Linked DNA regions of Saccharomyces cerevisiae S288C. The main gene of each other region encodes a partner of the protein of the gene in region 2 in a complex. Each region holds a gene or a part of one and is shown on either strand. Other genes may lie near its edges. The genes, in order: RSM26, RSM24, MRPS8 and RSM27.

Region 1 (3,195 bases), on a different chromosome or scaffold from region 2:
AATGAGGACATCCAAAGATCTGTATCACAGGTATTTATTGATGAAATTTGGTCGCAAATGACCAAAGAAGGCAAATGCTTACCGATTGACCAAAGTGGTAGGAGAAGCAGCAATACCACCACTACGAGATATTTTATATTATGGAAGAGCTTAGACAGTTGGGCTTCTTTGATACTACAGTGGTTCGAAGACTCTGGAAAACTGAATCAAGTCATTACGTTATACGAATTGAGTGAAGGTGATGAAACAGTCAATTGGGAGTTCCATAGAATGCCCGAAAGCTTGCTCTATTATTGTTTGAAGCCCCTATGCGATAGAAATAGGGCCACAATGCTGAAAGATGAAAATGATAAAGTAATTGCCATTAAGGTTGTTTAAAACACGAGCGAGAGGATAAAATAAAACTATTTACAGTATATAAGATTTTGGTAGATCCCCTTCTACCCGATACCTTTATAATTACATATGAGGGTAAGAGGCTATCGCTTCCTTTCTTTTCATTACTTCGATATACCAGAGAATATCCTATTATTTACCACTGACCAATTCAAGTTATCTAGAACATTCTTCACGTATTTGGACCGGTTACCAACGCCATAATCATGTAAATAAGCATGATCCCACAGATTGACACAGATTATAGGCATGGTCCAGTCTTGAACCTTACCATTCAACTTAGTAGACTTTCCTATCAGTTCTTTCATTTGTTTCAAGGTAGCAAATTCATCGATGGATATCGCACTGTTTAAATCAAATGACTGGTTCCTGGGAAAATAATACGGCGTACCATTATTATTGCTCGTTAATATGAAGAGTTTTTTCTCATTGTTTTCAACTAGAAATAACCAGCCTTGTCCCAAGACTTCATTCTCAGCACGGTAAATCATTTCCTCCTTCACTACTTCCCAATCGCTGCCGTTGAATGAATCTTTGATTTTGGATAAAAAAAGCCTAGAAGGCTCTGTCTTCACAACGGCGTTCGAGTTAGTGCCATGTTCAACAGCAGAAGGTAGAATGTTCTCCACGAATAAATGGTTATTATGGATAGAGGACGCCAAATTGAAGATGTTTGACTGTAATGGATTTCCTGCAGTTTTCAGCAATATGTGAAATGGATAATATGATTCCAAAGACTGTCCCGCTGTCGCCAGCGTTAGCTTATCACATAGATATCGCTGGTAGTCGAACCACACCGTCTTGAATCCCGAAGAACTGAGTATATTAGGCACTCCATTTTGCAGTAGGGCCTTAGAATTTGGTAGTTTAGGTACTACGTGAATACCCCTTTTGAAAACAAGCATTTCTCTGCGTCTTAGTTGCGCCAAGAAGACGATATTATGTGGTCTTCAGAAATTTGCCTGCAAAATATCCTCTTATTGTGAAAAGACTTTTGCTATACCCTTCTTACTTTTCCATGCTTTGCGATACTTCTTGCTCAGTCCAAAAAAGTACTGCGGCACCTCTCCTAAGATTCTTGGAAAGATGGGAAGTGAAAAAAAAAAATACAAAAAATAATGAGAGCTAAGGGATTCGAACCCTTGCATCCGAAGATATCAGAGATTTTAGAGGTTAAATCCACCTAAATCTGACGCCTTAAACCACTCGGCCAAACTCCCATTGTTTGTTGAATGGACTTCATAAACAATCGCATATCATTGATTGGTTACTTTTTAAGAAGGGATTGATGCCAAAGTCAGATGGTAACCATTGGATCAAGTGATAACACGTTTAAATGAAACAGTACCCATTTCTATAGACCAGATACCACGGAAGGATTACTGTAGAGGTGAGATATGAGATAGAGGGAATTGCCATTCGGTTAATAGCATATATAGGTTTTTATATGGAAGATTTGTGGGGCAATTGATTACCTTGTCAAAAATATATATAATATCTTGGAGCTGTAAAGGAAAGGCAATGTACAAAATCGACCAAGAGCTTTACTAAGTCTGGACAGTCGTTTGTCTGCCGATGTGGAAAAATAGCTTTCAATATAGTTATAGGAAGAATTTTCATAACAAGTGCGCGGTCTTGTTCCCCTTAACAGGTTCCGAACCTAGTATGGGAGAGGTTTCATTGACTTCGTTATATACTTCATTCAAGTTTGTAAGCCTACCGGCAATAAGGATTTGAAAAGTACGAAATGAAAAAAGACAAAACAAAAGAAGATTAAAGGTCAAACATAAAGGATAACACCGACATGCATAGAACGGCAATATTTCTAACTTACCGATCATGTATGAGAAATTTCAGTACACTGAGTAAAACATTAACGGTTTCTTCTGGTAAAGTAATCAGAAACGGTCCATTTAGGAGAGTAATTCGTGAAAAGAACCAAATAACGAAGGCGCCATCAGTAAAAGCATTTAAAGAAAATAGCAATAGCGGGATAATAAAAGTACATGATCCTATAGCTACTACGATACTTAATGAACCGACAGTTATTATCGAAAGGCAAATAGAATTTATGAACGTTTTTCTAGGTTTCGAGCAGGCTAATAGGTATGCCATAATGGATGTGAACGGAAACAAAATAGCATCAATGATGGAAAGAGATTTTTCTATAACAAAGGCCATAATGCGGCAGTTTTATCGTCTACATCGTCCTTTTTTGGTAGATGTCTTTGATAATTGGGGAAATGTAATAATGACGATTAAAAGGCCCTTTTCGTTCATCAATTCTCATATAAAGACTATCATACCTCCTTCCGCGTATGTTGATAATGGCAGTGACTCCACTCACTATCACGACGGTAAAGAAGGAACGACAGTAGGAGAGACCATTCAGAACTGGCATCTCTGGAGGCGTCGTTACGAATTATTCCAGAAAGATGGAGTAGAAGGATCCACTTTTGACCAATTTGGTAAGATAGATGCACCTTTCTTATCATTTGATTTTCCTGTAACAGATGCTGATGGTAAGATAATGGCGAGTGTAGACAGAAATTGGGTTGGTTTAGGAAGAGAAATGTTTACCGATACTGGTGTTTATGTTGTTAGATTTGATTCGCAGAGATGCTTTGATAATATTTATCCTACTGAGATGCTAAGTTCTCAAGTACTAACTTTGGATCAAAGGGCCGTGTTATTAGCAAACGCTGTGTCCATCGATTTCGATTATTTTTCGAGACATTCCAGACAAACTGGAGGTTTCCTTTCTTTTGGCGGTGGCTATGATGAGTAGGTGAATTATAT
Region 2 (3,387 bases):
TAGAAGCAAAGAAAAACGGTACCCTACCACCAGCTTCCTTGGAAAACGGTCCAACTCATGCGCCGGTTCCAATTCCTTTCAGTTTACAGCACGCCGCTGAACCTCCTGTGGAAAAGAGACCTCACGATGATGATGGATCTTCGGAAAAGAAGAAGAAGAAGAAGAAGAAGGATAAGAAGAAGGACAAATCCAACTCTTCTATTTGATGGACGGACAAACTCGTTACTATTACTCTACTGTCTTTCTAAAATAAATATAATAATAAAAAAAGGAATAAAATATAGCAGCATGGGCTTGCTTTGCCCATAGTGTATGCACATATATATATATATATATGTATCTATCCCTCTCCTCTTGTAACAGTATATCTTCCTTTTCATTTTCGTTGTGTATATGTATGTATATAGTTCTAAATTTGCGATTATACCTTTTCAAACCTCTCAATGTTGTATTGTGCTAAAACTATGTACATTTTAGAGAAAAAGAAGGAAGCAAAACAAATACATAATATATACAGGGGGGCCGTTCTTTTTGTTTTTGAACATGTATTAAAGAGTGCTCAATAATTGATCTACAATATCAAATTTCTTCTTTGGTGCATCTTCAGGGCGTTTCCAGTGTTCAGGAAACTCATAATCCCGCTTCTTTTTACGTAAACTCTTAGCTATAGTATGCCTTGTGTCAAGGGGAACATCGCTAAAATCGTCCTCCGTCAAATCTTTTGACTCCGCTAACAGCCTTTGAAGAATATCATGCAAATAACGTGCATTTTGTGATGCATGCTCAAATTTGTCACTAGACATTTTAAAAATATCTGTAGTATGATCATAACGCGACCTGGCTAATATTCTGAACTTATGTAATGATTTTTCCTCCAGGCCCAATTCCTTGGTTTTAACGCTTAATACAACCTTCCTCGAATTGGGATGCTCTTCGCCAACATAACTAGTGTATCTATAAGTGACCGGATGACTTTCTGGAGATGGTCTCTTGTATTCCTGGCGATATTGAGCTAATAGCGGTAACTCATATGCGGCTAATCGATTATAGAACCTTTGTTCACGATGTTGGGCAACCAATTCCTGAGCTTGCGATGGCAATTCATCAAACATAAACGGTCTAAGACTGTTATCGCGATTCACGTTTCCACCTTTTATATCAATAGCGCCTTGTTCTCCTCTGTGATATAGCTTTTTAATATCGTTAACAGGTACATTTGAGTACTCAGAAGTGGTTAATAAGGCATTCAGTTCGTCTTTGTTAGGTTTATACTCTGAACCCAATCTAGCCATTCTCTCCCAATATAACTCTAAAATTCTTTGAGGAGGTAAACCCTTCCATTTTTCGGGATGCATATAGAGATCTGCTGAAAAAGCTGGTCCTTCTCTCACAGTTTTAGCTTCATTACCAGCATCACTGTTCAAACATCTAGACATTGTCAAAACCCTTTTCTGGGTGCTCCACAAATTACCCCGAGAGACTTTCCATAACCCCAATGGTACTTTCATCTTCCTAAGAATAGTATTTTAGTAGTGTCAAATGTTTCGGTAACTCTACTGCCTTGTTCACAGATCGAAATATACTCAGAATCAGTTACAGAAAAGGTCCCATTTAGCGTAATTTCTTAGCGGAACTCATTAAAGAGCTCCGACGTGCAACGCGATAAAGGTTCGCCGACGACAACAAAACAATGGCAGGCAGTCATTAAATGAACGCCATCAAATGAAATATTCGTGGTAGCGATTACAATAAGGAAGTTGGAAAAACATAACAAAGACGGAGCGACGAGAAGTATTGGACAGGACATATGCCTAGACATGGAAGAAGAGGAAAACTGCCAAAAGGCGAGAAACTTCCTAAAAAGGAGGGAGGCGACAATACTCCGTCAAAGCTTTTATCGTCAATGCTTAAAACTTTAGATTTGACCTTCGAGCGTGATATTGGAATGCTCAATGGCAAAAGTGTTAGGTCCATACCCAATAAAAAAACTTTACTTGAATTGCAAAGTCAATTGGATAGTCTCAATGAAATACTGGGTACAATTGCCCGAGGTGATCAAGAGACCATTGAAGCGCTTCGGAAAATAAGAGACAGTAAAAATGAGAAGCAAGCAAACGATGAAAAGCAGGAAACTTCAAATGCAGACGGGCAGCACGAAAGTTCTACTGCTACTGAAGAAACGAATATAATTGATAAAGGGGTACAAAGCCCACCAAAACCTCCTCCTTCTAATGAAATCTCCGGCACAATTGAGAACGATGTAGAAAGCATCAAACAAGCGGCTGATAATATGGCTAAAGAAGAAATTAATGAAGACAAAGATTTACAAGTTCATAGAGATCAACCCAGAGAAAAGAGGCCGTTCGATTCTGAAACTGAAAATAGGGCCACTGAAAATGAAAACACACAGAGGCCAGACAATAAGAAGCAAAAAATTGACGTTGACAAAATGGAAAACGATCCAACTGTTAAAAATCCAAAATCAGAATTTGTAGTATCGCAAACGTTACCTCGAGCAGCAGCAGCACTCGGCTTATTCAATGAAGAGGGACTAGAAAGTACAGGAGAAGACTTCCTAAAAAAAAAATACAATGTAGCTAGTTATCCAACAAATGATTTGAAAGATCTGTTACCAGGTGAATTACCGGATATGGACTTTTCGCATCCTAAACCAACCAACCAAATTCAATTCAATACCTTTCTAGCATTTGTGGAAAATTTTTTCAAAGATCTTAGTGATGACAACTTAAAGTTTTTGAAGATGAAATATATTATACCCGATAGCTTGCAATTTGACAAAACTTATGACCCTGAGGTAAACCCGTTTATTATACCGAAACTAGGCCCTTTATACACAGATGTTTGGTTCAAAGATGAAAACGACAAAAATTCTGCCTATAAAAAACCTTCACCATATTCAAACGATGCATCTACTATACTACCAAAAAAAAGTGCCAACGAACTTGATGATAATGCTTTGGAATCGGGCAGTATATCGTGTGGGCCCTTATTATCTAGGCTGTTGAGTGCTGTATTAAAAGATGACAATGACAAATCAGAATTGCAATCTTCTAAAATAATACGGGATGGCGGACTACCGAGAACCGGAGGGGAAGACGATATACAATCGTTTAGAAACAACAACAATGATACTGTAGACATGACATTATCTCAGGAGAACGGGCCCAGTGTTCAAACACCTGACAATGACATTGATGAGGAAGCATCTTTCCAAGCAAAACTGGCAGAAAATAAAGGCAGTAATGGCGGTACTACAAGTACGTTACCCCAACAAATTGGGTGGATAACAAATGGAATTAACCTGGACTATCCAACATTCGAAGAACGATTGAAAAGAGAACTAAAGTATGTAGGGATATACATGAA
Region 3 (2,640 bases), on a different chromosome or scaffold from region 2:
TCATCTATCAACTAGTAGTTACACTACCAGTATGTTATCATGTACGGTGTTAGATGATGACATAAGGTATGAGAAACTGTCATGGAAGTTAGACGAAGCTGAAATGCAAGGATTGATAATGTAATAACATAATGACACATATAAAACAGAGTGAAGAATAATCGTAGTACTATTATGTAGAAATATCAATTCCATTTTGAGGATTCAACCTAAAATTCATATGTTTTTCAATATTAAATATAAAGGAGCTAAGATTTGGCGTAGGATCTTCGTCTATAAATTTAGTTGCTGATAAATTATTCTCCATTGTTGCTTTTATTGAGTATTAAAGCATTTAATGCTAGAATCCTCCATAACAGACAGCTTCAGTAGCTCAGTAGGAAGAGCGTCAGTCTCATAATCTGAAGGTCGAGAGTTCGAACCTCCCCTGGAGCACATTTTTTTTCAAAACTTTTTATCACTGCTAGTAAAGGTAATGAATGAAGGACGTTACTGTAGTACTATACTCATCATCATTGTCTGCATTTTATAATATTATTATTTACATGGTCCGTATATTTTTTAATTACACGTATAAATACGGTCATATGTGATTGTTCTATTCATTTTACTCTGCATAGTACTTCTCCATCCAACTTTTTGGATATGGCTTCATTAATGTCCATAATGTTGTTATGAGCTCGAACTAGAATCAGTTCTCCTGGTTGTAGTGGTTTGATGTTTCTAATAGTTACGCCAGAGCATAGTTTCTTCATGTCTTCCATTGGCAGGTGTATTCTTGAATTTGGTTTGGAAATTAATTTGCAGCTGCTGAGGACAGGTTTGTTATCTCTATACTTCAATCCAACCCAAAGCCTTCTAGTAGAGATATTGTCTGGTGTTACTTCAACAAAATCTTTGTCTGGTCCCATAGTCGATCCCTTCTGTAAAGACGATAAGAACCCTTGTTGGTAAAGGTTATACGCAAACTGTAGCTGCAATTTCGTATATGGGATCGATGTTAAGGCAACTCTAACTTTCGAGCAGTTCTGTAAATGAGCACACGTATTCGCAAGTTTGACCAACGACATTTTGGGCGATTAGTTTAGATCGAAAAAAAGGTGTATGTGGTCGCTTCTTTGCCTTTGGCTTTCTTCTGTTTTTCCGTTCTTCTTCCTCAGTTTGTCGATTTAATTTCAAAAAGCGGTTTGTAAGGACTGCCGGTAAAGCTAAAATGAATGAATCCCCATAGGAAGATTAATACATAACGAGCCCAGATAAATAGACTACCTACATGTTGCGACCACTGAGAAAAAGCGTTCTAGCAAGCTGCCGACATTGTTTCAAGGTGTGCGGTGGGTTGCCTCAAAAGCAATTACCCTTATTTTCACCATTGCTCTTGAGAGCACGATACTCATCAACTGATAGCTCAACTAAAAGGTCTAACAAATCAGATAAAATAGATGCTCCAGGATTTAAGAAAATTTTCCTTGTTGCTATTATCGGTACAGTGATATTTGTCAAGACAGTACAGTCTTTAGATAAGAACAAACCGAAGACAACATTATCAGAAGAAGAATTCGAAAATGTGGTTAAAGGGTTGAAAAGACGTGTGGCTATCTTCCCACAAGGTGAGGTCGATATAAAGTTTTCCTTATCACCCAGCATTGAAGAAACTAGAAAGGTACTGCAGAAATCACAAGGCGATGATATAAATGAGCTGCAGTTTGTCGATCCAGTCAAGGTCATCGATTACTACAGAACCTTGAGGGATGATAGATATGAGGCTTTATTAAATGAATACTACAAAAAATACGGGTGTGACACGTACGCTTACAATTTGCCGACCGGTATGTTGGTCATGCTTTTGGGTAGATATTTCAAAGAGAACTTCAAGACCGGTGACAAGCTAGTAGTTGTGAACTTTCCTCATTCGATTGCTGATGCAACAAGATTTGAAAATGAGGTTTCTATAGTGTCTAAAATCTTTGTTCCGAGGAAATTGAGTGGCTCTGACGTCTGTAAATATTACGAAACTGTAGGTAAAGCTGATATCATCTGAGGATGTTTTCTTTTTTTTTTTTTTTTGGTTTCTTCTCCTTGTTAATAGCTTATATGTATATATATCTGGATATATGTCCTGAATATGCTGCTTATCTGTCATATAACATTCTCATTTTCTGTTCCCTTCATCTATGTGAATGAATTCTGTGCGTTTCTTTCGTTTCCCCTCTTTTGCGTATGGCTTTAAATCGATTTTAATCTGTAAAATCATCCCAAAATCAGATGGATAACATAGAAAACTGAACCGAAGGAAAGCCCATGTCCCACAAATTAACAATCCTGCCATTTCTGATTAAGTTCACGCCCAAGTTTCCACAATCCATTGATCACGACGAGCATGGTCTAAACGTTTATGCCTTTGATCTGGACCATACAATTATCAAACCAAAGTCCCCCAATATAAGTTTTAGTAGAAGCGCAAGTGATTGGCAGTTTATTAATTTTAACTCCAAGAAATCCACCCTGGATTACCTGTGTAATATCATTGATAATGATCCCACGGCCGTCATAGTCATATTTTCTAACCAAGGTGGTGTCATCACCGTCCCAAGAACTTCTAAAAGTTGCACCAAGTACACTAATAAAATTTTGCTATTT
Region 4 (2,536 bases), on a different chromosome or scaffold from region 2:
TTATTATTTATTATTCTAGTGTTCTTGACTCCCACAGTGATGGCATTCTATATGTCATACACAGTTTTGAGAATGCTAACAATAACTATCGAAATATTCTCGGAAGCTGTCATTGCACTCATTAACCATTTTCCATTGTTCGCATTATTACTTAGGTTAAAAGATCCTAAACGTCTACCCGGTGGCATTTCAATTGAGCTCAAAACCACGGTTTCTAACAAGCATACAACCTTAGAACTTCAAAACAATCCTATTAAATTCAAGAGTATGTTCAGACCATACAATCTATTGTTGTCGCAAATGAGGACAAATTATTTCTCGTTTGCTACTGTACGAAAGATTGTCCGAGGGGAGTCTATAATGGTCAATAGAAATAAGCTGTACTATGTTCTTTATTCTTCACTGCCTAGTAAGCCATTGAGTGTAAAGGATTTATACAAAAGGCTGACTATTCAGGCATAACGTTTTCTTTTATAAGTAAAGTAGCGTTTTCTTGCTTCAGCTATTTGTTGTTTTATTTTTGATTTTGTATGTACATGAAATGAGTTTCTACATAATGAATATTTTTTTTAGTAAGGGTGCTCCAATCATTTTTTTTTCTTCCCCTTCCCCTTTGCAGTTGCAGCTGCATCCTTCTTCATCTTCTTAGGAGCACCTTTACCACGACGTTTCTTTGCTTCTACCATAGATAATCGATATTGCTCCTCAAGGTCTACAAATTCAATATCAGGATATAATGTTTTCAAATGTCTGAACTTCAGGATATCCGGATTGCCGTAGTAGCTTGCCACAGAAGGGCCCTTTAATCGCTCATTTAGAATCTTAGAACCGGTTCTTATACCTGATGGGTTGAAATTTTGATCAAATATCTTCGCAGATAACTCTGCTACTTTTAGGAGTCTCGCCTTTGGTACGTTCATTGAAAGTCTTATGATAAACTAATCCACGCAATCACTACGTACCACTTCGTCGAGCGGGTCAAAACAAGTACCTATTCTCCATGGCTATGTGCTCTAAAATGGTTTAGAAGTTCGCTTATTATATTTCTAACTGTTTTAGATCACTATATACGCTACGTGTTGATAAGACTTCATTTGCACATTTTTACTACAATAGCTAACTACTCTCAATTGATTAAACTTCTCAGCAAATAAAGTACATGGCTAAATGTGTGACAAGATGACACAATGAATGTATTTCTTTTTTCTTGATTTTTATTTAGCCGCTAAATTGATAAAGAAATCTGTTATTCTAATAAAACATTATACTATAATTATTAATATACTATTTGTAAATATCACCTTACTTACCACTCGACGTTGTCAGCATTTTCTTCAGCCCATTCAGTAGCTTCAGCTTGCTCTTCGGTAACCTCTTCCTTGGCTTCTTCTTCACCAGCTTCTTCGGTGGTAGCTTCTTCAGCAACTTGTTGTTCAACTTCTTCAGGGTCTCTGTAGAAGTACAAATCTGGCATGATGGACCATGGTTGAGTTCTGTCAACTAAAGCACCTCTTAGTCTCAAAACTTCTCTAGCCAATAAGTACCAGATTAAACCAATGGAGTGCTTACCTCTGTTGTTACATGGGATAGCGACATCGACGAATTCTGATGGAGAGTCAAGATCAGTTAGAGCAATGACAGGGATGTTAACGTAAGAAGCTTCCTTGATGGCTTGAGCATCTGATCTTGGGTCGGTGACAATAACTAATCTTGGTTCCTTGAAAGAACGGGTGATATAATTGGTGAAAGAACCTGGAGTGAATCTACCGGCGATTGGGGTAGCACCGGTGTGGGCAGCGAACTTCAAAACAGCCCTTTGACCGAAAGTTCTGGAAGAGATGGCAACAACGTCTTCTGGGTTTGGAATGGCAGCGATGATTCTGGCAGCCAAAACCAATTTTTCCCAGGTCTTACCAACGTTGATAACGTGGACACCATCTGGTCTTGCGTTGAAAACATATGGTTCTTGGTGAACCTGAAACAAAATTAAAGAAGAAAAAGTTAGTATAAAAGATTCAAAAACGTACACTTGGTATATGCTGTGAATGATCAACTGATTCAAATTAATGTACTATGAAAAAATGGCATTTATAGTTGGCTAACAGCGTCGGAAGAATAGGTACCGGAATTAATTGATTTCATTGAAAGAGGTTTAATACCAAAGGTTTGTTTTTTTTTTTCATTAGCGATTTAAAATTTAATAACATAATACAATTAGAAAGTCTATTGGCAAAATATTCGCTGATAATTAGCTGGAGTTTCAAACTGTTTTAATGATTGTTCATATATTTCTCTTCTTATTCAGCCTGAAAAATGCTATCCCAGCATTCCGTTTGGTTGGCGGGAAACCTGGTTGTGGCTATTCTTTCACTCGAACTGTTTTCAATCACACATTACTCTATTATATAATCGGGAATGAGTATAACATACTTGAACGTTTCTAGCACCTAAGTGAGTGTTAGCAGCCAACAAAAGTTGGGCATCTTCTGGAGTCAAGTCAAAAGTAGCTGGTAAGGACATTTCGCTCTCTATTTAG

Evidence for each region.
Region 1: RSM24 (region 2) and RSM26 share a complex: the UniProt entries of both Saccharomyces cerevisiae proteins name them as parts of the mitochondrial small ribosomal subunit.
Region 3: RSM24 (region 2) and MRPS8 share a complex: the UniProt entries of both Saccharomyces cerevisiae proteins name them as parts of the mitochondrial small ribosomal subunit.
Region 4: RSM24 (region 2) and RSM27 share a complex: the UniProt entries of both Saccharomyces cerevisiae proteins name them as parts of the mitochondrial small ribosomal subunit.

Annotation. Positions count from the first base shown.
Region 1 is NC_001142.9:616,340-619,534, reverse strand, and holds RSM26 (mitochondrial 37S ribosomal protein mS42 RSM26), read right to left. Parts: upstream 1,302-3,195; coding exon 501-1,301; downstream 1-500. Other genes in the region: ESCRT-II subunit protein VPS25, read left to right, coding at 1-378; AIM25 (Aim25p), read left to right, coding at 2,201-3,184. UniProt on the Saccharomyces cerevisiae protein: Component of the mitochondrial ribosome (mitoribosome), a dedicated translation machinery responsible for the synthesis of mitochondrial genome-encoded proteins, including at least some of the essential transmembrane subunits of the mitochondrial respiratory chain.
Region 2 is NC_001136.10:812,645-816,031, forward strand, and holds RSM24 (mitochondrial 37S ribosomal protein mS35 RSM24), read right to left. Parts: upstream 1,509-3,387; coding exon 549-1,508; downstream 1-548. Other genes in the region: HMO1 (Hmo1p), read left to right, coding at 1-206; histone acetyltransferase NGG1, read left to right, coding at 1,808-3,387. UniProt on the Saccharomyces cerevisiae protein: Component of the mitochondrial ribosome (mitoribosome), a dedicated translation machinery responsible for the synthesis of mitochondrial genome-encoded proteins, including at least some of the essential transmembrane subunits of the mitochondrial respiratory chain.
Region 3 is NC_001145.3:570,678-573,317, reverse strand, and holds MRPS8 (mitochondrial 37S ribosomal protein uS8m MRPS8), read right to left. Parts: upstream 1,071-2,640; coding exon 603-1,070; downstream 1-602. Other genes in the region: YMR158C-A (uncharacterized protein), read left to right, coding at 1-124; AIM36 (Aim36p), read left to right, coding at 1,274-2,041; TPP1 (polynucleotide 3'-phosphatase), read left to right, coding at 2,302-2,640. UniProt on the Saccharomyces cerevisiae protein: Component of the mitochondrial ribosome (mitoribosome), a dedicated translation machinery responsible for the synthesis of mitochondrial genome-encoded proteins, including at least some of the essential transmembrane subunits of the mitochondrial respiratory chain.
Region 4 is NC_001139.9:920,559-923,094, reverse strand, and holds RSM27 (mitochondrial 37S ribosomal protein mS33 RSM27), read right to left. Parts: upstream 921-2,536; coding exon 588-920; downstream 1-587. Other genes in the region: GPI1 (phosphatidylinositol N-acetylglucosaminyltransferase), read left to right, coding at 1-462; 40S ribosomal protein uS2 RPS0A, read right to left, coding at 1,307-1,975, 2,431-2,520. UniProt on the Saccharomyces cerevisiae protein: Component of the mitochondrial ribosome (mitoribosome), a dedicated translation machinery responsible for the synthesis of mitochondrial genome-encoded proteins, including at least some of the essential transmembrane subunits of the mitochondrial respiratory chain.